Tamandua tetradactyla: one gene and its partners. The protein of the gene in region 4 interacts with the protein of the main gene of each other region in a biochemical or structural test. Links are inferred from orthologs where the notes say so. Each region holds a gene or a part of one and is shown on either strand. Other genes may lie near its edges. The genes, in order: RAB31, RAB8A, RAB6A and OCRL.

Region 1 (7,097 bases), on a different chromosome or scaffold from region 4:
ATGTGGGCCTAGGGTAGAGGTGGAGGCCACAGTGAGTCATAGGTGAGGATGGGAAGAGGGACCCACAGGTATTTGAAAATGCTCCACAAACGATTCTGACGCATACCCCACAGAGAAGGTCTGGTGGGAATAGTGACACTGAGCCAAAATGTACCAGAAGGACCTGAGGGATTGGGTCAGGTTTCGTTATTGCTCAAGGGACAATGCCTGCCGGACATTGCTAGAAAGATGCCCCACTATATGGTTTCTATCTGTTCTCATGTGACGAAGAAGCTACCAATGCTGAGCCATACTTTCCGCGAAGGGTTCAACTTAATAGAGGAAACAAGTGTGGTAAGAAAGAGTTGCTGTCCTGCCTCTCTGAGCTCCCCCTCCCCCCCACCCCCACTCCCCCAAAGAAATGCTGGTTTCTGAGAAAGAAAGAAAAAAAAAGTATATTAATAGAATCTCAGGCTTAGAAAGCAAATGTGATGATCATCTAGCCCCAATCCTGAACCCTGGGCATTCATTCCCCCACCACGCCCCAACCAAATTTGGTTAACTTGACTGAAACATTTCAGAAAGAGGAAGCTCACCAGGGATCAAAGAAGGCCATGTGAGGTTCTGACAGCTAGAACTTTCTGCTGTAATTTTGAGCAAAATCTGTTCCATCCTCAGCCCCTCAGATGCCCTCTGCAGCCAAAGACCCTTCTCATGAAGGTCCTGTATGCATCTGAGGTCTCCTATCGCCCAGGTGTCATGACAAATCCAAGGTCTTTGCTCTCTGATGAAAACAAGGCCAACAGTAGATGCTTCAAGAAGCTCCTTCCCTGCAGCAGGGAAGCCCTCAACTGCCTTTCAACTGCTCGTTCAGCTGTGGAGGAAGCAGAAATCACTCTACAATCATTGTCAAGACAACCAAAATCCAAATATACATCTCTTTGGGATTCCATGAGGGAGCAGTTTTGAAGTGCACACAGAGGAAACAATAAAATAAAGATTCTCTCCTCCTCTTTTTCTCCCTTCTCCCTCTCCTCCTCCTTTTTGCCACGTGGTGATGTGTGTTGAAAATGCATACTGGGAACCGTTCCACCTTTGGGGTTTAAACAGCTGCTGCCTGAATACTGTTTTTGTTAGTTATTTTTAACATAATTTGCGGATTTTATGGGGGGGGGCTGTTTTTAAGCTACATGTTTCATAATCCTGGTTCAGATTACTAAATAGGATGCTTGGCACTTTCTTGGCAAGAATGAGACCCACGGGGCCGTTAAGTGTCTAACAAGGATCACTCGTTGTGATCCCCTGTCCCACACGTCCTCCTGAATGGCGAGCTTCCCTAAGGGGCCCAGCAGTGCCCCAAGAGAGGGCATTCACACAGGCTCACTGAGGTGTAACCACGTGTAACAGACATGAAAAGGTTCACACGTGGTTGGGAAAAAAAGGGAGAGAACCAAGAATATAAGAGGTAATTCCAAATAAACCTAATGCTCTTGAGTTCTTGGTTTCTCACAACACAAAGCATTCAGAGACGGTTCCACAGACCATTGTTAATCCCATCTGGGAGCACTCACGGAAAAAAATAAAATCAGACCCACCTAACGTCCCAGGAAAATGATGAGAAGCATCAGGTTCTGAAAGACCCAGGCATGGGTGAAAAAGACATGGCCTGTGACCTACCCTCACCTCCAACTGTTGCAAACAACCCTACCGTGGGAAGGCAGAGTCCCCAGCCCACCAAGAGAGGAAAAGACCAGCATAGCAACTGCCTATGCCCAAAACCAGCCTGTGCCAAATGAGAGGCATGTCCTCAAATAAACCCTGAATAGCCAGGGCACAAAAAGCCAAGCCCCTCAGTCTCCCAGGGAAATAGGAAGGTTTCATTCACTGGGCCACCAAGGGCCACCTTTTCTATCCCATCCTAGGATGGGGACAAACCAAAAGGGATCTCAACAGGGCCAATGGAGGCGTGGCTCCTGGGGTCTTTGTCACAAGAGACTCCAGGAAGATGTGGTGGTGTCCAAAAAAGAGGAAGCTGAGTGCTGGTGGTATGCCAGACCACATCCTGGAAGGACAGACCTTCCTACACAAAGACCAAGAAGCTAACAGGGTTCCTGTTAAAAAATCTGCAAGAATTTCTGGACTTAGCATGGACTCTCTCTTCCACCCACTTCAAATCAAGACAGAAAACCCTTGGATCTCACCCAAATGCTGTCTTGTCCAGAGAACGGCCCTTCTTGTAAGAGCAGCTCTTGTGCCCCCAAGTCAAGCCAAACCAGGGTACTGAGCAAATATTACTAAGACTAGAGAGTAAGGTCATTCGCCCTTCCATATAAGATAAGCTCTGACCTAAATAAAATTTAAAACACAACCACCACAGAAAATGGACACCACAGATACGGTGTGTTACCACGGGTGCTTCAAAGCCTCCATCTGCCTAGAAATACCTCCTTGGTTTGCTCTGGCATCTGCTCCAAGTTCAAATCCCCATCAAGTGATTCACTACATAGCAGGAGTGAACAAAAGGTGAGGCATTGCCTGCAGGAAGCCTCTAAAACAGAGTGTTTCATTCCTGGAGATAAGAGGAGGGGGGTGGAAATGAAGGGATATCCTCCAGCTTTCTCATCTCCCAGGTTTCCAACTGTCACCCTGGAATCGCAGGTTAACAGGAAATAGTCCCCTCCCTTAGAAGGAAGATGTTACCATGCTCATTTTGTAGATGAGGCAAAATGAGTGAGTTGTCCAAAAATGTGCAGCCAGTTCGTGGGCAAGAATGAGAACCCATGTTTCCTGCCTCCTGAGACAAGATTCTGCCACCTGATCAGTTCCTTGCAGAAGGATATAGAAACTCATCCCTAAATGCCAACATTGGAAAGACGGAGTCATAGATGGGATGGAGCCTAAACTGATGACAAGGGAGAAAACGTTTAAAAAAAAAAAAGCAAAAACATTCCCCACTTCGTTTCTTCCTGGGGCCAATTCTGACACACGCAACATACGCAATGCTGCCTCCTGAGTCCTCGGAACCAAACATTCCTTCCAAGTCTCTGGAGGCCTTTCCTGGGGCTACAGCAATTCCTCCCAAGGAAACATGAAATGATTCCCCATAAGGAATTCACGCCTGGATTCTATTAGCAAGCCCGGGCGACACTGACAACAATCAGCAGAGCCAGAGCAGGACACAAGGGTGCCAGGGGGACAGGGGGTTGGTGGGGGTCTGTGCCCGAGAGGGGGTGGGGGGGACAGGGTCAGATGCCCTGGAACCATAAGCAAACCGGACAAGCCAATGTAAAGAATACTTTGGCGGAGGGCAGTGATGGGCGAGTCAAGAGCACTGTCCTGCCCAAGGTTCAAGAAGAGCTTGAGGGAGCCAGGACTGGATCTCAGTTTAGCACAGCTGGGTTCTAACCCCTGGCAAGTGGCACAGGCTGGTGAGATGCTCTAGAATCATTTCCTCTTTAAACACTTCTGTGCGTCCACAGTCACAGCCCAGTTAACATTTCTTTGAGACAAGTAAGAATGGCTCTAATCTCTTCACTGTTCTTTTTTAGTAAATGGTTTTCTTAGGAGACCAGATCTGCCAACCAGAAGGGCGGAACACCCGGCGTGGATGCCAAAGGCTGCTCAAAACACAGTTTTGAACCAGCTCTTCTTCTACAAGAAGTAATTGTAGAAATTGATGTGGCACCCACAAGGAAATGACCCTGAACACGAGCTGACTCTCCCCAGGGCGGAAGGGGGGTGCCCCAGGGGCTGATCTGTGTCTTCTCTGGTCTGCCAATCCAAACGGCTGTGTGTGTGTGTGTATGTGTGTGTGTGTGTGTGTAGTGTGTGTGTGTGTGTGTGTGTGTTGCTGGCCGTTTTTACATTTCTCCAGGGTCAGAAAGCCCCATGTGAGCGAAGGGAAGTGGTGATGGGGAAGGAGTTTCCTAGCCTGCTGCTTCTTTATCCGAGGCACAAAAGTTTTCCAAACACACTAGCATGCAGAACTTTCTTTCTTCACCCTCCAGCCCCGCCACCCTCTCGGTTTTCACCCTGGCTTGGGCTTTTTTTTTTTTTTTTTTCTTTTTTTTAAAGGAGTGGGGGGTGGTAAACATATTGCCCCCAGGAGGCAAAAGAGGCCTCGGCCACACTTGGCCAAGTAACGTAAACTTTCCGCCGGAAGGAAATCACCACAGCGAAGCGGCGAGCCCAGCGAGGCGGGAGGGGCGGTCGGTGGCCGGGACCCTCACCCTCCGGCTAACCCCAGGGAGGGATCCGGCGGCCCTGGGTGGGGAGGGACAGCGCGCGTCCCAGGGTCCCGCCAGACTCCAGCGGGGCAGCGGGGGAGGGCCAGGCCCCAGGGCCGAGGGCGGCTGAATCTCCGCCTGGACTGGGCTGGGGTCCCGGGAACCGGTGGGGAGCGGAGGGGCAACGGAACCCCGGCGAGGAAATGAACGCGGGAGTCCTTGAACCCCGTCCTCGGAGCATCTGGGCTCCCGGCGCAGGGGCGCGGGCGGTTGCACCCCGCCTGAAGCGGGCAGGGATCGCCGGGAGGGGGTCCCGGGCGGGGGTCCCGGGAGGGGGTCCCAAGCGAGCGGGCAGCCCCGGCGGGGTCGCGGCGCCCCAGGACTCACCCCGAGAAGACACACTTTGAGCTCCCGTATCGCCATCATCTGCTCCGGCTGGGCCGAGGCAGGGGCTCTGCATCCTCTGGGCCCGGGTCCCACAGCCCCGGCCGCCGCCGCCGCCGCTTCCACCCACCCCGCGAGCGCACTCGGGTCTCCGCCTCCTCGCCGCCAACCAGCCCGGCAGCAGCGGCGGCCTGCCCAGGAGGCTCCGCCCACCGGACCCGCCCCCGACTAAGCCCCGCCCTGGCCCCGCCCCACCCCGCCGGTCTGCTGGCCGCCCCCCACCCTGCCCTCCCAGACCAGCTCAAGTGGGCAGAAACCCAGCGCCCGGAACCGTAGCTAGAAACCCGGAGCGCCCAGCAGTCACGGCACGAGGTCCTTCTGCAGCCTTTCTAAACTAGGAAACAAAAGGACTGCAACCCATCTAAGGGAGGCTGTTCTAAATTACGTTCTCTTTCCTTCTCAGTGTATCTTCTGGTCTGCCTCATCCACTCCGTGGCTTCATTTGTTACTGCCATAAAAATGTCAGCCTTCGGGCATACTACCCGAATAAGTCACTGGCATTTCAAATCAGAAATACGATTTTTTTAAAAAAATCCCAAACCCTTGAGCGAGATTTTCAATTTTGATAGACGGCATTTCCATTCTCACCCACCTTAATTATCTGGCTCTGCTGCGGTTGAGACCAGGTTTAAACTACCCACCACCCAAAAGCCCCATGCAATGGGGACTTCCAAATCGAGACCTTCAGAGAGTAAAGTCCTAGAAGGCTGGAATCAAAAAGACACCCATATAAACACAATTGTCAATGAGAGTCCCCAAGCAGCAGGACCTTCCCACGTGCCACGTGCCCGGTTGTGGAAGGTCATTCATTCATGCAGCTCTGTACTACAGTGTTCAAAAAGTAGCCATGGGCCAAGGTCAACATCTTTTCCTAGCTTTCAACTTTGGGACTATTGTGTCAGTATCTGTCCTTGGTTTTGCATTTAAAGTACAGAACATCTTCTCTATGGGCAGAGTGAAACAGAATTCCCAGTCCTGGGCACAGCAGAGCCTTGTCTTCTCCTGTGTCTTCAGGGGATTCCAGCATGTGGGCCATCCAGCTGGCGGTGTTTGAATCTCCATGTTTATGCAGGCACGCCTGGCTTTTCCTCTTGCTTCCTAAAAGTTGGCCAATCCACATAGGTGGATGGTCTCCAGATTTCAAATATCATACTTAAAGTAAAAAAGATGGTATCTTCAAAACAAAAATTTAAAAGAAAGAGTTCACCCATTGCGAAAATACCTCCTGCTGAAAAAAACCTATCCAATGGAACAAAACCCCAAGACTTCATCCCATAATTTCAAAGTGCAAAAATGTTGATAAACCAAAATCGATACCCCAACTTAAATGAAGAACCAGCATGATAAAATAGTGGTGCTAATTTATTACTAATTCACAAGGGCAGCTTATGAAAATTGAGTCATTGTTATAATTCTTTTTATTTTTTCTTTGTAGCTATAGCAACTAAACAGTAGGAAAAGTGTCATTTTCCAAGATAAGAAATTCCCCTAAAGAAATTTTTTCATAAAAGAGTTCAGGAGTGGGGGGAGGGGTAAAGCCCATCAAAACACAGGGAAATTTTCTCATTTTCTATACCCCATAGAATGAGTGAGGGTTAGTAAAGCTGCATTAAGTCACAGAAGGCAGGACTGTCCCCAGACAAAAATGAGAATCACCTTGGTCTGCTTGTCTTTCTCTTATCCCCAGCGCCATTAAACATTACCTTGTTTTTGCCTCATTCTGAAGAGGACATGCACTCTGCTTTACAAAGTAGCAATTCTAGGCGGTCATCCGACCACGCTCGTGGGTTGACTCGCCTTCTCAGCCAGGTGGACCTGGTGGACAACTGCGACCTTGGGAAAAAACATGCCCCCATGGTCAACCCAACTGAAACACAAAACTAGCCCAGGAGGGGGAGGAGGGAGGAGATGAGGCAGCTCTCAACTCTTTAAAGATACCTTGTTCTCCATGAATGCTATCATCATGCTCTTACATAGCTGAATGAAGGACCCACCTAGAGTCCTTTGGAATTTTCTGCAAATAAATTCTGATATAGCTTAAGCAGGGATTAAAAAAACAAAGTCAATGGGACATAATTACCTGATCAAAAAAGTAGAACATGCAAGTTTTCTTTATGGACCTTTGTAAAGTAAAAGGACATTGTAGTAATTCAGACTTCTGCTTTTCTGCTGCTTTAACGTCTTCATCAACATCATACCATTAGAAGATGGTGTCCAGACTTGAAGTGTTCTTAGCCTGTGTGGCGAAGCCCCATCATCCTTCAAGGACCTACTCAAATTCCACCTCCTTCATAAAGTTTACCCCTAAGCTTCTCTCAGCATTTACTCAGCACAAAGAAACTAACTAGCAAACCTGCCGGCTTGTGCAAAAACACACACACACACACTCAAAAAAGCAATGAAATATATTAAAGACACCCCAAAATCATCTTACAAATGTAGTACATC
Region 2 (8,011 bases), on a different chromosome or scaffold from region 4:
AACATTTACCTGGGGTTGACGGCACTGCTCTGGGTAAACACACACAACAACACAAATGGGACTGGAATTTAAAGAGCCGCTCTCTGACGCTCCAAAGGAAAGACAGGTGACAGGATTGCATTTTCCTTCCAAAGGCTTCTAGCAAAGACTTGGGGATTAATTAACTGGCACTGGGGGGGAAGCTATGAAGTCCCCGATACTTGGGACTAAAATCTTAGGTCTGTGTAGCACTCCTTAGGTTCTAGAACATTTCTCATTTGTTCCTCGTAAGTTCCATGCCATACAGTGATAGCCCCCATTTGATGGGTGAGAAAACTAAGACTAAAAAAAGGGTAAATGGCTTACCTCAGTGCCTTCTCTGGGGCTTAAACCCAGGTGTTCTGACACTAGGGTTTCCAGACAGAGTGAATAAAAATACAAGACACCTGGTTAAATTTGAATTTCAGATAGACAATGAGGAATATTTGAGTATGTCTCATGCCATATTTGGGGTATATACTAAAAAACTGTTGTGATCTGAAATTCAAATTTAACCAGGTACCCGGCAAATTATTTACAACCATGTGTGACTCCTGAATTTGGGAACTGGTCCCTCTTCTATCCTGGTGTTCTGCTGTAATTAAAATACAAAGTACTTTCTCCGCTATTACCTTCACTTTGGCATTTTGGGTTTGGAAACCTTCTTTTCCCTCTGTTTTATAAAAATGCATATTAATTTCATTTTCCCCCTGTTTTCTTAATCCTCACCAGAAAAACTTGCCCAGGCCAAAGAAGAGAACGTGGGCTTACATCAGACACTGGATCAGACGCTAAACGAACTTAACTGTATATAACCAAAACAGAAGAGTCTTGTTCAGAGCTCCGGTCTTTCTCTTCTCTTGTAAGAAGTTTCTTTCGTTATCGCATCTTTCTCTTTGCTGGAAATGTCGAGCAAACCTATGAATCCATGACCAAATATTTTGTTATCAGAGACGCTTTGAGCACCTGTTAAGTTTAATTCCTTCCTCTTTTCCATGGCACTGGCTTTCTCAGCTCTCTTTTTACCCTTATGTTGCATTTATTCCTTAGGCAGGGTATTTGGTTCCTGGGAGACTAGACAACCCCACACTTTCAAGAATACAGACTCCAATATCTAGTCATGGGTCAACTTAAAAGGCTGAAGAACAGAACCATTTGGGCTCACCTTTGGTCACACTACAGGAGGCGAGGGACCATCACATTAGAATGGGTGGGGATTTTCCATCCAGAGCAAGAAAGAAAGAAAAGAAAAAAGGACTCTTAAGGAAAGTCATAAACCACATGCAGAGTAGCCTAATCATCTTGGCTGTTCTCCACACTCCACTGTACACAGCAAACATCCTCTGAGCAGTCAGCATGGAATGCTTGGGAAACAGTCATAATAATAACCCACATTTTCTGGATAGATCCTTGACGTTTATTTCATTCTAAAGTTGGCCTCTGGGGAGCAGATGGCTTATTCCAATAATGCCCCTTGGCTGCCTACCCTATTCAGTAAGGCCATCCGCTCTGGAGGAATGGATATGGCAAAGTTCAGAACAATTCACGGCTGCCATATCAAAGAGAATGCAAGCCATCAGTAAATTGGGCAAAAGGATTTTTGTTTTTTTTTAATCAACAAATACCAGGCAGAAGGGGTCTCTCTGGCAGCAAAGCTGGAATGAAAAGGCTACTGACCCAACTTCATCTCCATAGTTCAGAGAATGGCAAATTGAAGATTTTTAAATTTAGGACTTTAATTCCTTCTTCGGGATCAAGTGAGTAAAAGACCAAGAAACTCCTGATTAAACTGGATTTGGAGCATTTTGTAGACAGAACTGCACATTTTACCTTTGCGATAGTTCTGCTTTCTCAGTTAACATCTCAGAACTGAAACATTCCACATTCCCCAGAAGTGTGGGGGCCAACTCAAGTTTACAATTCCGGCTAAAAAGTGACCCTGCTTCTAGTTTATCCAAATCCCCTGCCCCTCACTCCTATTTATTAAGCATCACACTACCCAGGAGATACACTAGCAAACTGAGCAACTGAATAAAACCCACACTTTCTTGCAACTGTATCATATGTAATAGTATCACTTTTTCTACATTTTGGCCAAATAAATTTTTACATAAACTACAATGTGTGTGAATTTTGGGATGTGTAGGGGAGTAAAAGGCACTTTGGGTCTCAATAGCCAACAAATGTTAATGAGAAGGAAAAGAAGATTACCGTGCCAAGAACTTAGTTAATGTTATTTATTTGCTTTATACCATGATTTCATGATGCAAGGATTATGAGTGCCACATGACACATGAGAGCATTTTGCCTCAGGAACTCAAATGCTTCTGCCCTGTGTCATTCCCGGTCCTGCTCAAGCCGCGCTGGGAAGATGGTCCCGTTATCTGCTAGGGCGAGGTTTCCTGTGTGTTGGACATCAAAAGGAAAGTCAAAGTGAGAAAGCAGGAAGGTAGGCTGGGTTCAGACCGATGAGAATCTGGAGTCAATTTGGTCAGGAGTGGAGTGTGGCTGACGACTTGAGTGATCACAGCAGTATAGTAGGAAAATCAACTTAAGCGTTTTGTTTTCAGGCAGGAAGATGTTTCAATAATCCAGGATAGTGGTTGCCAATAGGAGGCAAGAGATGGCCTGATGGAAATAGCCTTAAGAGTAGCTGACTGCATGGCGGGGAGCTTGGAGAAGAGGGTGTCAGAGACCACTGCAGTTTCACTACCTGAACTGCTTTGGCATCCTGCCTCAAGAGCTCCTTAACTGGGGGTGGGGAGGGAAGGAAATGCATCAAAAAGAGAAGTGAAAGCTTTTCAAAAAGTTAAATACAGGATGCCAGCAATTGTTATCAAATGCAGTGAAAAGCACTTCCCTCATATTAACATTGTCCTGACACTGAGCCTGGTTAGAGGGTAGATGCCATGAATAATGTATAACGCACAGCCCCCTCCCCTGCCACACCACTGCGTGATTGAAGTTTTCTCTTCGCTGTTCTGTTCTCAGCCTTCCCACCACCACCTTCTCTCTGGAAACTGTTTTACTCAGTCCTGTGCCTCAGCACGTAGCTTAAGTGCTCACCGCCTGTTAACCCAACCCACTCCAGCTCTCCGCAACCGCCCACCCCTGTGGCACACGGGTGGATCGCAGGGTGAGGTGAGGGCCAGACTGTGGCGGGGGGCAGGGGTTTGTACACTCAGTAAAGGTTCTGGGCTTTACCCTGCTCAGGGAATACTGAAGGATTTCAACCAGGGGGATGGCTATGCTTAGAGGACAGTGTCTTGGGATGAACTCTGCAGGATTGGGAGAGACCGGCAGGGAGATGTGAGGGCCTGGCTGTGACTCTGAAATGGAGGAGGAGGATTCGGGAGCTATTCAGAACCTCCCCAAGAGCCCGCAGGTAAGGGGTGAGGAGGTGGTGGCCACAAAGGCAGGTTTCACACAGAAGACAGTTCTGGACCAGCAAGCTGGAGTGGAAGACGATGAGTTCAGCGGTGCACACGCTGAGTTGAAAGCACTTTTGACAAATCCAGCGGTAGAAGTCAAGGCCCCCAGAGACGCAGGGATGGGGAGGCGATGAATGAAAAATTGAACCATCCTTGGAGGCCTGGGAAGTCACAGAGTGAATGAGAGGCCCCGAAAATGCGAACAGAGGGCTCGGGACATAGAGCCACAAGGAGCTCCGCTCAAGGCACAAGCCGACATCTGCCCAAAGGCGCTGACGGGGTGCGACGCAGCACCCAGAGAGAGGCAGAACTGGGTGCGGGCCACGGGCCGGCTGGGGAAAGCGCCGAGGAAAAGAGCCTTTCCAGAGGTGACCAATGGTCAGAACAGCGCCGAGGCTGCGGCCTGAAGCGTTTCTTGAGCAGAGCTAGACGGGCCATCCTGGAGCCAGGCCGAGCCTCTCCTGGGAAGGACCTTAAGGGCTTCCAGCAGCCTCTCGCGGTGCCCCGGGGGCGGCCTGAGGCGCGAGGCCAGGCTGACAGCCGGCACGTCGGCGAGGCGGCTCGGGCTCTGAGAGGCGGGAAGGGGAGCGATCCAGGGCTCGGGGTCTGCAGCTGGCCCCCGCCTCGGGTGCAAAACCCATCTTCACACACCTCCGTAGCAGGGAAAGTGACCTGTCGCCGGCCTCCCTTTCCTCCGCACGCAACGGGGATCAACAATCAACATCGGCCTCGGGTCAGTGCGAGGGTTCAAGATATGAAGTGTTGAGAAGGCGGCCTGCGCGCCTCCCCTGGCCCCTCAGGCCCCCGAGCGCGCCTCCGAGGGCGGACGGGGCGTGGGGACAGATCTCGGGGGTCCCCACAACCTCTGATTAGGTCCGCGGGCCCGTCCTGAGGAGGCCCACGCGCCTCAGGGGACTGGGGTGGCGGAGGCCGGGTTATCCCCAGGCGGGCTCCCAGGCCGGCGGAACTCCCGGAGCACATCTCCAGAGGCCGCTCCTCGACCGCGACGAGCGCCCTTTCCCTGCTTTCCTCTTCAGCACCCCGAGACCCAACACCAAGGCTTCCAGCCGCCGCCTCCGCCCACCGTCCCTTCCCGCGCTCGCCCCGCCGTCTACTGAGCCTGCGCGGACTCTGAGGGCGGACCCCGGAGACATCCCTCCCGCCCCACCACGCGTGTGCGCCCTCTGCTGGCGCCCAACGGTCTCCCCAGGGCGCGTGCGCAGTCCTTAGACCCCGCCCCCGAGCCTCCGGCGCACAGGGCCGTTGGCGACGCTCCCTGCCCTCCACCCCTCCCCTAAGGGGGCGGGGCCTCCCCAGAATTGCGGGCGGGAAGGCGTGGCCACTGGAGGTCACGCCTCCGTCCCGTTCCCCGTTTGAAGGCCGTCGACTACTCACCGCTGGCCAATCGTAGCGCGCCCTATCCCGAACGCCGGCCAATGGGAGGCGCGCTGGGACCGCTTCCGGCCCCGCGCGTTGGGCGGGCCTCGGGGGCGGGCGTCGGCCGCGATGACGCTCGGCGGGCCGGGAGCCAATGGTGGGCGGGCTCGGCGCTGATGGACGGGGCCGGCGACCAGTGGCGAGGAGCCGGCCGCACTTCCCGTCGGAGACAGAGTGTAATATGGCGAAGACCTACGATTACCTGTTCAAGCTGTTGCTGATCGGGGACTCGGGGGTGGGGAAGACCTGTGTCCTGTTCCGCTTCTCCGAGGACGCCTTCAACTCCACGTTCATCTCCACCATAGGTAACGCGGCCGGGGAGCGGCCGGGGCCTCTGTGGGGACGCCAGAGGCCCGGTCCGGGCGCGCCCCTGAGGAGCAGGTGGGGAGGGCGGAGGGGTCGGAGAGCGTCAGGGGCCCTGAGGGGCGGAGAGCCCCCGCCTCCGCTTCCCCTCGGGGGCTCCACGGGCCGCAGGGAGCGGGGCGAGTGCCCATTTTGCAGGTGGGGTAACTGAGACTCCCATCCTCAGCCTCTCGTCTAGGAGTGTCTGTCGTGGCCTGGGGTCTTCGCGCCCGTCCTCTCGTTCTGTGCTCGCAGCACACCTCCAGGCGGTCCTTTGGAGGCCCCCCGACGTGCAGAACTGGACACTGAGGCTTGGGGAATTGACCGTGGGGTCGGGACTCGCTGAGCCCCTGTTCTTGTGGCCAGGCTCTTTCTGTGCATTCTCACGCCCCGAGCAGAACTCTGCGTTACAGAGGAGACTGAGGGGAGGAGTAGGGACTTACCCAAGGTCACACGGTCTGCAGGTAGCAAGGATGGGTTTAGAACCCAGGGGTGCCTGACCCCAAAATGCCGGGGGCAGCTGTCGCAGATGGACGCCAGCACACAGCCCTGAGACCCCAGAGCCATGTCCCCAAATTGAGCCCTCTCCTTTGTCCTGTTTCCCATGGGTGAATTTTTTGTCTAGAAGGAGCAGTGAGAGGGAGTTGGTGACCTTTCCCTGCCCTGCCTTCCATCCCAGTCGAGGGTGACAGCAATGACGGGTGACAGCTGTCCACCCTGGGATCCTCATCTGCAAGGAGTTGCCAGATAAAAAAGCCTCAGTGAGAAACAAAAACCAGCCTCCGCCGCAAGCAGCCTCGGCTTCCCTATCGCGTGGCCCAGGATGTCGGTTGTCACTTTGCAAAAGAGGCTTTCCCACACAGCCAGCCCACATTGTGGTTGAGCAGAATTGGCTGGTTGCACCTCAGTTCTGACATCCACCAAAATGGAGCTGACTTCTCTTTGCTCCACAAAGCAGTCATTGCTCACTTGAGAAAGCTGGATCTGTCAGGAACATCGACCAAACGGAGTGGCCTCAGCCAGAGCTGAGAGTTTAGCTGAGTGGAGAAAACCTAGTGGGTGGGTTTTGTTTTATCCCCGTGTAACTTTGACCAAGTCGTTGTTTCTCCTCGAACCCCATGACGAGGGTGCTCAATCCATCCTTGTCCTTCACCTAGAGCGCCGTAAATCAAGTCAAGTGTTAGATGTAAGGTAGAGAGCGTTGGACCAGAGGGCATCAGACCTGCCTTCCAGTAGCTGTTTGGCCTTGGAGGAGTCCCTCCACCTCTCCGAGACCGATGTCTTCAGATTAAGAGCAGAGCTCTCTGCCTTGGCCAGGCCTGGGGCTGAGGATCAGAACTCCACCTGGACTAAGAGGTCGAGACCACCTAGAGGCAGCAGGATGGCTCCTGAGGTGGTAGCATCTCCCTGGGCACAAGTGTATCAGAATCCTCCCCCCTCCACCCTCAAGGTCAGCCCTTGGAATAACTCTTGCCTCCCCACCAACCAGGAAGTGACATTAACTCCTGGCCCACTGTGCTCAGCCCCAGACCTCAGTTTTCCAGCTTGTTCCTCACGTGCCCCAGTGAGATAAATTCTGAACTTGAGTTTTTCATTTGGATTTTAAATCTTCAACCCTGAAACCCCATGCAGCACCTTTAGGGCCCCAGGAAGGAGGCATCTGGACTATTCCATTCACGGACAAGAATACAGCTCTCTCAAGGTCATGCGGAAAGGTGGAGGTGGAGTTGAACTCAGCCTTCTCCCCGCCACCCCAATATTCTTCCTATCACATGTGTAATTTTGCTGCAGCTCTCTGTCTGCCCGGGAAGGTTAAATTTGCCGTTACCTTGAAGTCATGGCCTCATAATTCTTAGCCCTCATAAACTTGCTGCATCCTAATTAAATCTGGTGTGCTCGTAAAACCTAGGAGATGTGCAGAGCAGAGTGCTGTCTTGGACTCTGCATATTCAGCCGTGCATCTCGATTTCCTGGATCCCAGTACATCTGTGTCAGGAAGTAGAGAAATGTTTAGGACAAGCCAACATTGGGCTTCTAAGTCCTGAAATATGACTCAGTGCATAAAGGTGATTTCTAGATTGGCACTGCCTGTATCCCTGGGTTTTCTTTGTAGATCAGAGCTTGCGTGGCTGTTCATTTGCTGCCCAGGGGATGTTTTGCCAGAGGCTCTTCTCATCAGCTCCATTGATTGCTTGTGGTGTGGACTTGGCCTGTGGCTCCTGGAATCAGTTCTCGGTGACCGGGCTGTGTTCACCCAGCACCTCCTCGGGGCCCGTTCATTCCTGCAGTGAGATAGATGATGTCCGGGAAAGGCTTTCATGATCCTACAGCTCCACACACGCCCTGTTGCCCTGAATTCTCTCTTCCAGCCATCTTCCACCCATGCCTCCTGTGCCAGCAAACGCCTCAGGGCAGGGGCTGCAGAGGTGAATCAGGGAAGCAGACAGGTACATGAAGCCTGTGCACAGGGCTGGGCATCTGACAGGTGTTTTGTTCAGCCCCTGCCATTTTGAGCCACTGGAGGTAGAGGAGTGATTGAAACACACGTATCGCCTGCACTCAGGGAACGTATGTTCTAGTTGGTGGGGGTGGGGGGTTGTTGAATCATAGACGTCCGGTCACTTTGGTTCCCAGGACACCTCCTGAGGCTCGTGAGGGTGGAACTCGCATCCTTGGAACAGCTTCCCCTTGCTTGGGGCAGGGGCAGAGGCAGAGGCAGGGTTCAGTTATTTCACCTCCACAGGCCTTCCAGATCCATTACTTATAGTTTCCTGAAGCAAATA
Region 3 (7,468 bases), on a different chromosome or scaffold from region 4:
TTGTCTCAGCTCCTGTATCTCATTTGAACTATTGGTTTGTTCCTTTGACTGGGCCATATTTTCAATTATTTGAGCGTGATCCGTTATCTTCTGTTGGCGTCTGTGCATTTAGACAGATTTCCCTGGGTATTGGATCCAAAAGTTTGGAAGATTTTTCTGTGAAATCTCTGGGTTCTGTTTTTCTTATCCTGCTCAGTAGGTGGCGCACGTGGCACACGTTTGTCTGCGGGTCCTACCAGTAAAAGGTGCTGTGGGACCTTAAACTTTGGAAAACTCTCGCCGTCCTGGGGGTTTGCTAGCCGAAGCGGCTTGAGCCAGCCCGGGGTCCGAACGCAGGGAGGGTTGCTGGTCGCCGCAGCCAGGGAAAGAGCCCGTCCGAATTTCCTAGTCGGCCCTGGGCAACAAGCGTGGCGGGAGGGCGCCAGCGGCAGCGGCCCGCCCGAGAGAGTGCACGTTCCCCGGGAGTCACAGGTTTGGAAGGGGCCTCCCCCACCCGTCACCGTTCTCCGCGGCCTGGGGGTTTCCGATCCAGTTCTCTCAGTTGGTCCGGGGGGCTGCGTGTGGTGTGGGCGCCAGCCGCCTTGGTTTCAGGGGACCGCCTCTCCAATTCTCCCAGCCGGCCCGGGAAGGGGGAAGGGAGTAACTCCGGCCGCTTGCCACCCCACCCGGTAAGGCCCGCGTGCCTCGGCGATCTCACCCGAGCTGCTTCTCTCAGCCAGCCAGCCGTTCCAGGATGGGGTACGCTGTCTTTTTTATCTCTGTTGTGGCTTTCGGCGCTTTCTGTATCGTTTCTACTCCTCTAGTAGGTGTCCTGGAGAAGAAACTAAGATCCGCGCGTCTTACTAAGCCGCCATCTTCCAGGAAGTGCTTCTTTTTTCTTTTTTTTGCATGGGCAGGCACCAGGAATCGAACCCGGGTCTCCAGCATGACAGGAGAGAACTCTGCCTGTTGAGCCACCATGGCCCACCCTCCTAAGCATAATTTTAAGTAGGCTTAAGCTATCCTTTGCAGGAATGATTTTCATACAGACAAATTCCAAGATTAAGGGCTTGGCCTATTGATTTGGTTGTCTCCACTGCTTGTGAGAATATCAGAAATTCTCCAGATGGTGAGGCTGAATATAGAATATATCCTCCTTTCTCCTCAGTCCCCCTAAGAGGATTTTGCAAATACTTCTTTATTCACTGCGTAAATTACTCTGGGATATATCCAAGCATCACATTAATCTGGAAAAATCAAAAATATCTCATGGCTTATTCAAGATTCCCTGTACTTATGATGTTCAACTAAACTGATAATACTAGTTAAATTAGATAATGTGCTGCCCAAAATATAAATTCTGCACCAAATTAACATCTCTCCCTTTGGTCTCACACAGAAGTTGAAGTTTTAAAACATGGACGATATTATTCTTTATCCTGTATTCTGATCTACCCCAGTTCTATACAGATCAGCTTCATTCATATTTCTATTCAAAGCTAGATCCCCTTTTCAACTTTTAAAACAGTACCTTAATGGGGTGCTGCTGATTTTCATAGCTTCAGAGCTCGCACTCTGAGTCTCAGGTGTTACATAAATACCCGAAGTTTCTGGGAACAATCATGTTATATACAAATAGCTCAGTAGATCAGATTTTAGAAATAACAGTTACAATTCAGGAGTTGTATATATGTGACTGCTGAAAGAGCTTAAAATCTAGGATCCTTTACAATTCCAATCTGGTAACCTCTGCTCTCAACTTCAGTTCACCACATTTTTATAATATAGTTAGTCCACATGAGTGAGGCATGCTAATATTTGTCTTCTTGTTTCTGACATTTGAACATAAGGTCCTTAGGTTCATTCACATAGTTGTATGCCTCACAGCTTCATTCCTTCTTGCAGCCACTCAGTAGTCCATTGTATGTGTAAACCACAGTTCCCCTTCCATTCCTCAGATATCATACCCTTAGGCCACTTCCATCCGTTGTAAATCACTAACACTGCTGCCATAAACACCAGCCAGTAACTACTTTTAAGGGCAATTTAAAAAAAAAATCAAATGTTCAATTCTGACTGTTTTTATCATTCCATTCAAAATACATTTGCACAAATTCTTTTGCCATTTAATGGAGAGAACAGTAAGAAGTGAATAAATTTTGACAGAAAAGGAGGCTTGTGGATATAGCTGTATTCTAGATATATTCTGAAAATTTCTGTTCTGTATTAGTTTGTTAAATCTGCTGGGATGCAATATACCAGAAATGGAACGGCTTTTAAAAAGGAAATTTATTAAGTTACAAGTTTATAGTTTTAAGGCCATAAAAATGTCCAAACGAAGGCATCCAGATAAAGAAACCATGACTCAGGAAAGGGCCGAAGATGTTCAAGCTTTCACTGACAGCTGGGAAGATACCTGGTATTGTCTGCTGATTCTTTTCCTTGTGGTTTCAAACGGCTTCTCTGGGGGTGTTTTCTTTCTATATCTCCAAATGTCTGTGCTGGCTCTGGAGCTTTTTTCAAAACGGTACCCTCTTAAAGGATTTCAGTAAGTGACTTCACCTCGAATTGGTGACCACACATCTATTGAAACCACTTAATCAACAGGTCCCACCCACAAGTGGGTGGGCCACACCTCCATGTAAAGAACTTAATCAAAAGATCCCATCCAACAATATTGAATCAAGATTAAAGAACATGACTTTTCTGGGGTACACAACAGTTCCAAACTGGCACAGTTTCCTTCCCTTGATTTATTCTAGGTCAGCAATTCATCCCTGGGCTTGAAAAGGAACTTCTTTGATACTGCCATTTCTATAGCTAAGTAAGTAATAACCCTGGAATAATGAGAAAATATATATATAAATGTATTTTGCGAATGGTAAGACACTATACGCACATGTAAGGATTTATTATTAACTTGAGAAATATTTTTGATACCAGTTTTTAAAAGTAACCTCTTCAAAACACAGGGATTACTCTTTCATACTCTATCACCACAGTGTGATGACATTTGGAGGAAGTTGTGTGGATGCCAAATTCTCTAATTCCGAGATTCTTAGCCTTTTATTTATCTTTTATTAACAGACTTTATTTAGAACAGTTTCAGATTTACAGAAAAATTGAACACATCATAGAGTTCCTGTATACCATACGCACTATACAATTTCCCCTATTTTTAGCATCTTACATTAATATGGTCTATTTGTTACCATGAGTTAATACTGATACATTGCTATTAACTAAAATCCATACTTTATTCAGATTCCCTTCGTTTTTATCTAATGTCCTTTTTCTGTTCCAGTATCCCATCCAGGATTCCACATTACATTTAGTCATCATGTCTCCTTGGGCTCTTCTTGGCGGTAACATTCTTTGTTTTTTAGATCACAAATCCAGGTGAAAGCTATGGATTCTCTCTACCGAAAAATGTACATGCTTTCAATGGCTAATTTAAGGGAGGTCCACTTACGGTGATTCAGAAGCCCTGCTTAGGGGGAAAGGAAGAGCTTTAAAATACCTACTTCGCAAGCTCTGCCTCTAATTTGTTGTGTGTCTCTCCGCAAAGGCGTTATTCTATATGGGTCTCAATTTCACCATCTGTGAAATGAAGGATTTGGTTTACATGATACTTAAACTCCTCTAGCACGGTGGAGTGTAATGTTCAAGTTATCAGCATCTGAGGACGATAGATCGACCCGTTAGGCCAAGAAAGTGCGGCCAAGAAAGTGCGCTGGCTTATCAATAAAGACACCACACAGATACAATGGGAGAAAATGAGAAAACCTGGGTTCTACTTTCCGGCTGTGCGGATTTTGCAAGCCATTTCCTCTCTCTGGACTTCAGTTTCTTCATTTGCAAATCGTGGAGGCCTTGTTTCTGGCAGTTATGAAACTCCTTGCAGCACCAATAGAGAATGTACCTAGTTAAGTGCCAATGTGAGGAATTATGATGAGTAAGAAGATGGAGAAAGTGGGTGGATACATACATGGGTGAAAGGTTGACACGAGGAATGTAAGGCAGGGATGGGAACAGAGGAAAGACGAACACAGCCTACACTTTAGTGCTCTCCGACCCCACCCGTACATCTCTGGGGTAATCCCTACTTCCGTTCGGGCCCCGCCTCTACCCCCTACTTCTCAACTCTTAGGGACAGACCCGCCACACTCTGCATGGCCGCCACTGCGCGCCTCTTTTCACAGCGCGAAGGCCGCGCGCGTTCTCGCACCGCCACCTCATTCTCGTCCCTGTCGGTCCTTGGCCTCTTCCGATTGGCTCACTACGAGCGTGACGTAAGCACTCCATATTTCACCCTTTCCTTTTCCTTTGGCTCCGTCCTGCCCCTCCTAGCTCCTCCCGACGTGCTGGAAACTTAACTTGCCCTAGTCTCCGCGGCGCCGGAAACCGGGAGAGCTGGCTAAACCAGGAAGGCGATGGTCGTGGCGCGCACGCGCACGCACTCACGCACGCACGTCGGCGGGCGCCGGGCGGCAGGCTCGCGCCCGGGCTTCTTCCGCGCCGCGCCACAGGCTCGCGCACTTAGCAGGTTGGGCTGCGGCGGCGACAGCTGAGGGAGTTGAGGCGCTGTGTGGGAGAGATCCCAGACGCGTCTGAGGCTCTGGTTTTGCCATTCTTCTTTTCTCTGACCCCACTTTCCGTGCCAGGTACTGAAGAAGGGAAGGAAGTTAGCCCTGGAAACCTCGAGTACACCCTTGGTTGCTTCGACACCCGCCCTCCTTCCCTTCCGAGCCACGGGCCTCGCTTGGTGCTAGGCGACTCTGCTGGGAGGCGGCGGCGGCGACGGCTGCCTGTCTGTGGGGAGTCCTGCCCTCCAACCTTTCTCATCCGCCGGGCCCTGCAGGGGCCAAGAGAGCTGGGCGCCTGCCCTTCCTCTCGCTTTTTTCCTCAGCCGGTTGGAGCATCGTCGGTCCGGAAGGTCTCTGGGCTGAGGCGGCGGCAGCTCCTCCGGCTCCATCATGTCCGCGGGCGGAGACTTCGGAAATCCGCTGAGGAAATTCAAGCTAGTGTTCCTGGGGGAGCAAAGCGGTGAGTGCGCGGCTCCCCCCACTCTTGGCACCTTGCGGCGGCTTCCCGTCGCCGCCCCCAGTGCGGTCCTTCAGTCCGCGGAGGCTTCTTGCCGGCCTCGCATTCATGCTCTGTTCCATCCCCCCGGCCCTTCCCTGTCTTCGCCAACCCCTCTTCTCCCTGGCTTCTCCGTCCCTTGATCTGTCGATCGATTTTACTCTTCTCCTTTGGCCCTTCTGACCCCGACTCTGCTGTCTGGTTCTTCACAGGCCTGCCCTCACCTACCGATCTGCCCTTCCCAGGCCTTACCCCGCCCAGCCTCTGCCTCCTGTCCATCTCTTTCTTCCTCTGGTCTCCGTCTCCCTTACCCCAGCCCTTTTTCTTGAGCCCCACCCCTATTCCTTGCACTCTGCCGGGCTCGTCGCCTCTGTGATGGCCACCCCTGGAAGCCCCGCTCCTGGGAACAGGCCCTTCTCAGACTTCGGCAAGGAGGGTGGTATCTGGGCGTTGTTTTCCCCTGGGGATTGGCTTGGGAATTGAGGATCTTTATGGAAGGTGGGAAATGGTGATGGTAGAAAATTCTTGGATGCTTTTTACCGTGGTGTAGAATTAATCTGTATTATAGCGGAATTATGTCTGAATTGGAAGCGTTTTGTGAATTGGGTGGTCTGCGTGAGGGATGGCGGCGGGCGTGGAGGCTTTTGCTCCTTGAGTTGGGTTCTGGCTTGTCGGAAAAAACCTCATTTTCTTCTCTTGACTTGAATCACTGACGATTCTTTTGGCAATGTTGATGCTTTTCCGATCTCTGCCAGATGCTATGTCATGATCGTTTTACTTGGAATTTTTCACATTCAATCTCCCCTTTTTCTCGTTTCAACATGAAGCGCTCTCTTATTTTTCTCATGGTGGTGCATACAGGAATGACTGGGGAAATGTTAATTATTCATTTCTTCTTGTATGTTTTCCAGTCATATATTTAGGATTTCTTCGAGAGGTTTGAGAATAAGGAATATCTTTGTTTTGTAGGATTTCCTTGGGGGTGGGGAGCGTTAGGGAGTTATCTAAATTAAATTTGTTATACTTTGGGTAAATGACTTTTATGCCTAATGTTCCATAGTATTTGGTGAATGAAACTAATGTCATTTAACCTGATCAAAGTTCTGCTCTTGCTGTAGTTTGTATTAGAAGAGATCCTAATTTTGTGAAGGTTGTCTCTAAAATTATTTCTTCTAGTAATTCCAATTTTATGCTGTTATGCAAATGTTTCGAATACAAATTTCCTATCTGCAGTATGCAAATTTGTTTAGAGATTATTACCCTCTTTTGTTTTTCTCACACTGTTCATGACCATCATTAAAATTCAAATTTGAGTGAGAAGTTCCTCCCAAATCATCAAACATTGGGTATCTACTAGGTGACTTAGGTTATATTAGAGAAAACATTATTTTGCCTAGAAGGCAGGAACCAATACAAATTCAGAGCTTTTATTAACTAATACTGTGAACTATTTAAACTAATTTATATGACATTAAGGTAGGCTAGTATTAGCTGCAAAATTACTTCCACTTGCACCTGAACAATCATTTTTCTCTTTCATACATAGATCTTTTTCCCCTTGCCAAGGAAAAATAAAGCCTACTCTTTGCTTATAGATTTTCTTGAAGTACGCCTTAAGTTTTTTTTTAAGATGAGTAACTTGGTAGAACATAAGGAATTGATTCTGATCCAGGCATTTTATGGCAATATCAGGACAGTGCCGTACATGAAAAATAGTCTGTAGGTCAACATTGGTAAATAGGATCTAAGTGCTTATTTTTCAGTTTAGGGATATTATTGCCTGCCTTGTGTTGTGATGCATCTATTTAGTTTGCATGAAAAACTCTTTAATCTCTTTCCTAGGATGGTTTTAGCATGTGTAGAGATCTGAATTTAAGTGTATTTATGTTTTAATTCACATTGTAGAGTTTCATGGCTTCTCATTTATATTTTCTTAAAACCTTTGATAATCTCATCTCCCCTCCCCTCCCCTCAGGTAATTCCTGGAGTCATTTTTTTATTTTTGTTTTTACTTAGATTTAATTTTCCTTTTTTTTTTTTTAACATGAGCAGGCACTGGGAAACAAACCTGGGTCTCCAGCATGGCAGGTGAGAATTCTGCCACTGAGCCACTGTCACACCACCCTACTTAGATTTAATTTTTGGACAGTTTGAGATTTACAGAAAAATTGAGAAGTTAGTACAGAGAGTTCCCAGATGGTATACCTCCCACCCCCACCTCCCAGTTTCCCCTGTTATTAGCATCTTTTCCTAGGATGGTACATTATTTAAAATTAAAGAACCAGTATGGATACTTTATTAACTAAAGCCCCTAGTTTATTCACATTTTCTTAGTTTTTACCGCTTGTTTTTTTTTTCCCCTCAGGATCCCATCCAAGCTACCACATTACATTTAGTTATATCTCCT
Region 4 (7,923 bases):
AGAATCTTATATGTCCTCTCTTCACTGGCTCCTGCCGCTTTGCTTTGTTATCATTATTCTTAGTAGTATTTTGCATGAGCAGACAGCGGGAATCAAACCTGGGTCTCCAGCGTGGCAGGCAAGAACTCTGCCTGCTGAGCCATTGTGGCCCACCCCTGCCACTTTGCTTTAAAGAGCCTCCATAGTAACCTCTGTTTGACCCTTCCAACTAATTTAACTAAAATTGTATTTCACTCCTCTTTATTTTCAAACCCCTTCAATATGTGGTCTCTCGTCTCTATTTCCTCATGATATGGTCCCTCTTGAATTTCCTGTAATCTCATTTCTACCCTCACCACTTACTGAAACCATACATCTAGTGGTCTGTAATGACACATCCTTGACACATTCAAAGAAAGTCTTTCAATCTTCATTTTCTTTCTCCTACTTTTAGCATTTGACACCGCTAACCTCCCCTACACATTTTTCTTTATTTTTCATTTTCAAATATTGCAAACGATTCCAAATGCAGGAAAATACATAGAGTAACATAATCAATGTAGGTACCCACCACCCAGTTATATCAAATCTTACAACACTAACTTTCAGGTTGTGTTTAAGAAAATACATATTACAGATACAGTCTGTATTCTCAGTGTACCCCTCACCAATCGCAATCATCTTCCTTCCTTAAATTTGGTGGTGATGGGCAGGCCACAGTGGCTCAGCAGGTAAGAGTGCTTGCCTGCCATGCCTGAGGACTCGGGTTCTATTCCTGGTGCCTGCCCATGTAAAAAAATTAAAAAACAAAAAAAAATTTGGTGATGATGTTTTATATACTATCACTACAGATCTAGATAGCCATAAACAACAGATATTTTCAAGCTTTATATAACTGGCATACTATATATATGTATTGCAATTTGCTCTTTTTGCTAAGCATTATATTTTTGAGATTTAAACATGTCATACATTTAGCACTAATTAATTCTTTTTCATTTCAAGATAGTATTAACTTCATGAATACAATGATTTATTCATCCATTCACTTACCAATGAACATTTAAGGTGCTTCCAAGTTTTTTTTGAGATTACAAATAATGCTGCAATGAATGTTCTTTTACATGTCTCCTTGTGCTTAAAGGTTAGAGTTTTGTCAGGGTTTATACATAGAAATGAAGTTTCTGGTTTGAAGGGTATTACATATTCAATTTTATTAGACGTTGTCAGATTGCACTTCAAAGCAGTTCTACCAATTTATCCTCCTTTTAGCAGTCATGGTATCTCATGGTTTACATTTGCATTTTCCTGAATAGTAATAAAACTGAGCATTCTTTCATATCTTTATTGGCCAGTTGGGTTTCCTTGACTGTGAATAGCTGATTCATATATTTTGTCAACTTTTCTATCTGGCTTTTTTCTTACTGATTTTTAGTTCTCTATACATTCATACATTTAATCAGTATTTTTTGTGCATCTCCTTTATCTCAGGAACAGTTCTAAGTACTAAGAATACAGCTATATGTGATGCCCCGATAAATCCCAGAGTGATTTGAACAGTGAATAAAGAAGTATTTGCAAAGTCCCCTTGGGGGAATGGGAAGAAAGGAGGAAGTATTCAACTTCCCCATTTGGAGAATTCCTGATATTCTTGCAAATAGTGGGGACAACCAAATCAATAGGCTGAGCCCTCGATCTTGGGGTTTGCCCCTATGAAACTTATGCCTGCAAAGGACAGGCTAAACCTACTTAAAATTAGGCCTAAGAGTCACCCTCAGAGAGCCTCGTTTGTTGCTCAGGTGTGGCCTTTCTCTAAACCGACATGGGAAGTGAACTCACTGCCCTCCCCCTCTACGTGGGACGTGACTCCCAGGGGTGTAAACTTCCCTGGCAATATGGGACAGGAATCCTGGGATAGCTGGGACTTGGCATCAAGAGACTGAGACAACCTTCTCAACCAAAAGAGGGGAAAGAGAAATGAGACAAAATAAAGCGTCAGTGGCTGAGAGATTTCAAACAGAGCCGAGAGGTTAATCTGGAGGTTATTCTTATGCACTATATAGATATCCCCTTTTTAGTTTATGGTGTATTGGAATGGCTATAGGGGAGTACCTGAAATTGTAGAGCTGTGTTCCAGTAGCCATGTTTCTTAAAGATGATTGTATAATGATATAGCTTTTACAATGTGGATGTGTGATTTGTGAAAACCATGTGTCTGATGCTCCTTTTATCTAGGGTATGGACAGATGAGTAAAAAGTATGGATAAAAAATAAACAAACAATAGGGCAAACAAAGGTTAAAATAAATTGAGTAGACTGAAATACTAGTGGTCAATGAGAGGGAGGGGTAAGGGGTATGAGATATATGAGCTTTTTCTTCTTTCTTTTGCTGGAGAGATGCAAATGTTCAAAAAATTATGATGGTGATGAATACACAACTATGATATTGTGAGCCATTGATTGTACACCATTTATAGAATGTATGTCAGGAATGTTTTTATATTAGGAATGTTAGTATGTTTGTTAAGGTTTGACAATAAAAATTAAAAAAAAAAAGAATACAGCTATAAACAAAACAGACAAAAACACCTGCCCTAAAGGAGCTTACATTGTATGGAGGAAAGTAAACAATAATTTAGATTGATAAATAAAATAAAGATACAACAGATACTGGTCAATCCTACAGAGAGAAAATAAACAGAGAAGAGGGATAGGGAGCATGTGTGGGAAGGGGATTATCAAATTACAATTTTAAATAAAGTGATCTGGGAAGGTCTCACTGAGAAAGTGACATTTGAGCAAAGACCTGAAGGGTGTGAGGGAACAGGCAGAATGCACAGCACGTGCAAAGGCCTGATTAGTCCTAAGGTCAGCAAGGAATCCATGTGACTAAACAGAGTGAGTTGGAGAACGTGGCAGGAGAGGAAGTCAGAAAGGTGATGATAGCCAGAAGTCGTGAAGTCATCCTTTCTTGGTCACATGCCTTGGGAATATCTTCTCCCAGTCTGTGGCTTGTCTTTTAACTAGGTTAAGTTGACTTGAAGCCATATATTTTGAAATTTAACATGGTCACACTTATCAATCATTGCACTTAATTCTTTATACTTTCCAGTGTCTTAAGTAATCACTCTCATTCCCTATTCCAAGGTTGTACAGATATTCTCCTATTTTCTTCTGAAAGTTGTAAAATCTTGCTTTTCACATTTATATCTTTAATCCACCTAAAATAATGTTTTTCCTATATGGTGCGAGGTAGGAAAATTTTATAATTTTCCATATGCATACTCAATAGCCCCAGCACCATTTAGTGGATAATCTGGTCTTTCCCTGCTGTTTTAAAATGTCATATATTCTGTTCTAGTTTGCTAGCTGCCGGAATGTGATATACGAGAAACAGAACAGCTTTTAAAAAGGGGAATTTAAATGAAATGTGATCCCACCATACAGCATTCAAAAACAAGGGGGGGGGGGATTTATTTAGTTGCAAGTTTACAGTTCTAAAGCCATGAAAATGTCCAAATTAAAGCATGGATATAGAAATGTCCAATCTAAGGCATCCAGGGAAAGATACCTTGGTTCAAGAAGTCCAATGACGTTCAGGGTTTCTCTCTCAACTGGAAAAGCACATGGTGAACATGGTGACATCTGCTAGCTTTCTCTCCTGGCTTCTTGTTTCATGAAGCTCCCCGAGGGGGCATTTTTCTTCTTCATCTCCGAAGGTCTCTGGCTGCATGGGCTCTCATGGTTCTCTTGGTTCTGAAGCTTTTTCCAAAATGTTTCCTCTTTTAAAGGATTCCAGTAAACTAATCAAGACCCACCTGGAATGGGTGGAGTCACATCTCCCTCTAATCAAAGCTTAATACTCACAATGGATGAGTCACATCTCCGTGGAGATGATCTAATCAAGTTTCCAACCTACAGTACTGAATAGGGATTAAAAGAAACAGCTGCCTCCACATGATGGGTCGGCATTAAAACATGGCTTTTCTAGGGTACATAATCCTTTCAAACGAGCACAGTTGCTGAATATCAACTTTCCATATATGTGTGGGTCTGTTCTATATATTGTTCCATTGATCCATCTATCTCCAAACCATACTGTCTTAATTACTATAGTTTTAGAATCACTCTTGGTATCTCGTCCACTAGAGATTCTTGAGCAAATGAATAAAAGTAATTAAAACACTGCTCTGGGAAAAATATTCTTATCACTGTAAAGAGAATAAAATAGTTAAAACAGTGATTAAAGACAACGAGATTCATTTGGGGGGAAATGCAGTAACCCAGATAGGATATCACAAAGGCTGAAAATAAAACAAATGGAGAGAAAACAAGGAATCTAAAAGTAATTCCCCCCAAAATATTAACAAAGTTGAATGGATACAGAGAAAGCAGGAGAGAGAGGAAAGCATATGGCTTTGAAGTTTCAAGCCTAGACCCCTGTGTGAAATGATGAGTTTGATTTGTTATACGGTTTTGTGTATTTTGTTAACAATGGGGTATATTAAATATGAGGTCTGTGCCAGGGATATATATTTGGACGTTCCCTGCCTAGAGATCACCTTGAGAGGGGACAGAGGAGGAGCAAGAGTCTGAGCTTTGAGGAATTTTCTGGTTTAGGGGGTGGAAAGAAGAGGAAGGGTAGAAGAACATCTGAGAGATAGGATAACCCGCATAGTGCATTATAACAGTAATAAGGATTTTTCGACTAGATTTGATATGAGTCCGATTAGCCCAACACCTTTTGAGCCCCCTGATAGTTATGACTGCATTTTGTTCAAAGTCCCCAGAACAATGCTGGCGTCACAGGTAGTATTTAAGATGCATTCCTTGCTGGACATGGTAAAGACGCCCCCAGTCCGTCGTGTCTGTCACTGCAGTTCCACAGCTTGGCCGCAGAGGGCGGAATCTGCGGCGGCCTGGGAAACTGGCGGGGGCGCGAGGCGCCGCTCTCTCTCGGATCAAGCTCTCAGCTCCCGGCTCCGGGCTCTGGGCTCCCGGGTCGAGGCTGGCGGCGCTGAGCCGTTCTGCAAAGTAAGCGTAGCGCAGGCAGGTGGGTGTGAGGGCAAGGGAGGCAGCGTCGTTGGATCCGCCCGCAGTCTGCAGTCCCGCTGATCCCGGAGGCCTCCCCAATGGAGCCGCCGTTCCCGGTCGGAGCCCAGCCCCTTGCCGTATCCGCCTGAGATAAGGGGGAGGGGGAGCCGTATCGGCCCGGGGATGGGGATCGGGGGGGAACTGTGGAACACCGGGGAGGGTGTCGGCTAGTTGGAGAAACCGCCGAGCAGAGCAGGGGGAGGGGGCGCTGGCGCGGGAGGCGATGCCTGGGGGCCAGGGAGGGCGGGCGGAGGGGCGACAGGCTGCCTCGGCACCGCACCACGCCACCCCTCTCCGGCCGTGATTCCAGAGACCCTTGACTAGCGTCCGCATACTATCGAGGGTATGGAGATGAAAGGGCCCCTCCGGGAACCCTGCGCTCTGACCCTAGCCCAGAGGAACGGACAATATGAGTAAGTAACCACCTGATTCCCACAGAAGAGAGGAGCCTCCCCTTACCTCCCAACCCCAAACCACGACCATCCACCCTCTTCCCTCTGGGGTTTTGCGGGCAACAGGTTCAGACCCAGGTGTGAAGTGCGAGAGTGCTCTCCAACGGCGGGGCTCTCCCCCTGCGTTAAGTGGTAGATTGCGTCTATATCGCTCAGTGGGAGGACTCCGTGAACAGGGAGGAAGCCTGGGTTCTTAGTTCCTGCCCCTGCAATTGACGTGTGTTGTGTAACCTTGGGCAAGTTAATAAAGCTTTCTGGGCCTTAGTTTTGTCACCGGTTAAATAAAAATATTAACTACCTTACCTTATAGCCATTCTTTGGAGTTGTAACTGGGGGAATCATAAATGCAGAAGTGTTTTAGGAAAAGTAAAAGCCCTGTAGAAAGGCTTCATTGTTAAACTTACAGGCTTGCCTTTTCTTAACCCCATTCAACTGGTTCCTCCAGTCTCCCCACCCCCCTATTCCATAAAATTCAAAGACCTGCAACTTGCCCCAAGGCAGGGTCATTAATTCAGTAATGGTTTAGTGGAAGCCAGTAACTGCCTCACACATTGGCCTCACACATTGGTAGAGAAAAGGTGATGAAATGTGAAAAAGTATAAACATTTGACATTTTATCAGTGTATCACCTTCCACTCTATTTCTGCCTTGCACATAGGAGCTCAGTAAGACTGCTGACTGATTGAGCAAAAGATTGTTTTCATAAGCTGTCATTATATAGCTGCTAATCTCACTCCCTTGCCACTAAAGCCTCATCTCAAAAATTTCCCATAGTGACCATCTTATCCCATCCACATGTGCCCAAGCCTCCTCTCTTGGGCGTCCACTGCATTTCTTGATTTCTTCTGAGTTTAAAAGTTGTTGACCACTTAAATCCTACCATCTCCCATCATTGGATTCTGCCTAAAAACAGTATCTCTGAATTCCTGCTTTCAGACTCTAGACTGGATTTGTGTCTGTGCTGTCTAAACCTAAAAGAAATTCCCACTAGCCTAGGCTGCCCACTTCTTGCACTGTTGGTGCCACTTTAATTTAGCATCACCTGATTCTATAAAAGTAGTTCTTCCCTAGGTCCTGCTTAGTCAGTTCTGTTGATGTCGGAAATTCATATTGTTTTTCCCAGGTTTCCTCAATCCCTGGAAGACTGGTTTAATAAAACTAAATTCAATAGACAAGTGAATTGAAAACTGAAACAAACTGACACTTCCAAGGCTAGGATAGGGCAGAGAGAATGGATTTGGAATGCAGAGCCTAGGTTGAAATCTCATTTCTGCTATTTTTGAGATGTGACTCTTGGGCAAACCAATGAAATTTTTATCTCTTATTTTCCTTTTATGCCAAATATGATTATGAGGATTAGTTAAAATAACTGCTTTGTTGAGGTGATCACAGCCCAGGATCTGGTTCCTTGGTTTAGTAGGTTTGCAGCTTACTTGGCTAATAAGGGAGTGAATGACTGGCCTTGACATGAGCACTTCATCCTGTCTGGGCTCTTGTACTAGAAGTACTTTTAAACTTGCAGCAGTGGCTGTTCTATTTGAATCCTCCCCATAGAGAAATCAAATTCTTGTATTAGAATTCTGTGCAAGTTACGAGTATAATAACTAACATTTAATGGTTTTAATATGTGCCAGGTACTATTCAAAGCACTTTTCATATGAGGGTTAATATGAAAAAGTAATAATATCATCATTGTTCCCCTTTTATCAATGTAGAAATTGAGGCACAAGTTTGTCACTTGGTCACAGTTAGGAAGTAGCATACTTGAGATTTGAATCTATGCAACATAGCTCAGCTACTCCAGCTCTTAATTACTCTATGCTGTCTCCCAGCTGTGTACGGAGGCTACCATTTCAGTAACCTATCTCAGAATTATGTGGTCTGCTTTTTGAAATAATTTCTTAGAATCCCCTAATACCCTAATGCCATCTATGATCCTTAAATTCTTGTTTCTTGGGTACCTTCTCTGTCTTTGGTGTCCAGAACTTTTTTTACCTTTGACCTTTTTATCCTAGAACTTGAAGCCTATCTTAATCTTTACATCTGGAGCTTTTCCAATCAACCACAGGAGAAATTTGCTTGACAGACCAATGTTACAATTAAAACTAAATATTTTGGAAATGAGACATCAAAACACTAGGGTTCATTTCTTTTTCTCAAGGATAATAGATTATGATAGTACCTGTTAGTTCACCTTAAATCAAAATATGTGTTTCCTAGGAATAATGCTGAGTCAGCATTGACAATATGTCAAATACTGATTTCTGTTTGACATCTATCAAATTCTGATTCCATTGTTTTGCCATATGCCTTTTTAACAAATCTTTTTTGTTCTGAAACGAATTATTACATTTCAGTAGAATTTTTTTTTACTTTTTAAATTGTATAGTATAACATA

The links.
Region 1: the proteins of OCRL (region 4) and RAB31 form a complex in vitro, tested with the Homo sapiens proteins (2 studies listed by BioGRID and IntAct, with this or other methods). The link is inferred for Tamandua tetradactyla from reciprocal best matches to the Homo sapiens genes OCRL and RAB31.
Region 2: the proteins of OCRL (region 4) and RAB8A form a complex in vitro, tested with the Homo sapiens proteins (2 studies listed by BioGRID and IntAct, with this or other methods). The link is inferred for Tamandua tetradactyla from reciprocal best matches to the Homo sapiens genes OCRL and RAB8A.
Region 3: the proteins of OCRL (region 4) and RAB6A form a complex in vitro, tested with the Homo sapiens proteins (2 studies listed by BioGRID and IntAct, with this or other methods). The link is inferred for Tamandua tetradactyla from reciprocal best matches to the Homo sapiens genes OCRL and RAB6A.

What each region holds. Positions count from the first base shown.
Region 1 is NC_135344.1:73,360,742-73,367,838, reverse strand, and holds the start of RAB31 (ras-related protein Rab-31), read right to left. Parts: upstream 3,010-7,097; 5' UTR 2,547-3,009; coding exon 2,424-2,546; intron 1-2,423. UniProt on the Homo sapiens protein: The small GTPases Rab are key regulators of intracellular membrane trafficking, from the formation of transport vesicles to their fusion with membranes.
Region 2 is NC_135337.1:94,765,484-94,773,494, forward strand, and holds the start of RAB8A (ras-related protein Rab-8A), read left to right. Parts: upstream 1-5,000; 5' UTR 5,001-5,067; coding exon 5,068-5,191; intron 5,192-8,011. UniProt on the Homo sapiens protein: The small GTPases Rab are key regulators of intracellular membrane trafficking, from the formation of transport vesicles to their fusion with membranes.
Region 3 is NC_135334.1:72,222,529-72,229,996, forward strand, and holds the start of RAB6A (ras-related protein Rab-6A), read left to right. Parts: upstream 1-4,464; 5' UTR 4,465-4,955; coding exon 4,956-5,025; intron 5,026-7,468. UniProt on the Homo sapiens protein: The small GTPases Rab are key regulators of intracellular membrane trafficking, from the formation of transport vesicles to their fusion with membranes.
Region 4 is NC_135353.1:34,136,101-34,144,023, reverse strand, and holds the start of OCRL (inositol polyphosphate 5-phosphatase OCRL), read left to right. Parts: upstream 1-4,908; 5' UTR 4,909-5,111; coding exon 5,112-5,150; intron 5,151-5,406; coding exon 5,407-5,486; intron 5,487-7,923. UniProt on the Homo sapiens protein: Catalyzes the hydrolysis of the 5-position phosphate of phosphatidylinositol 4,5-bisphosphate (PtdIns(4,5)P2) and phosphatidylinositol-3,4,5-bisphosphate (PtdIns(3,4,5)P3), with the greatest catalytic activity towards PtdIns(4,5)P2.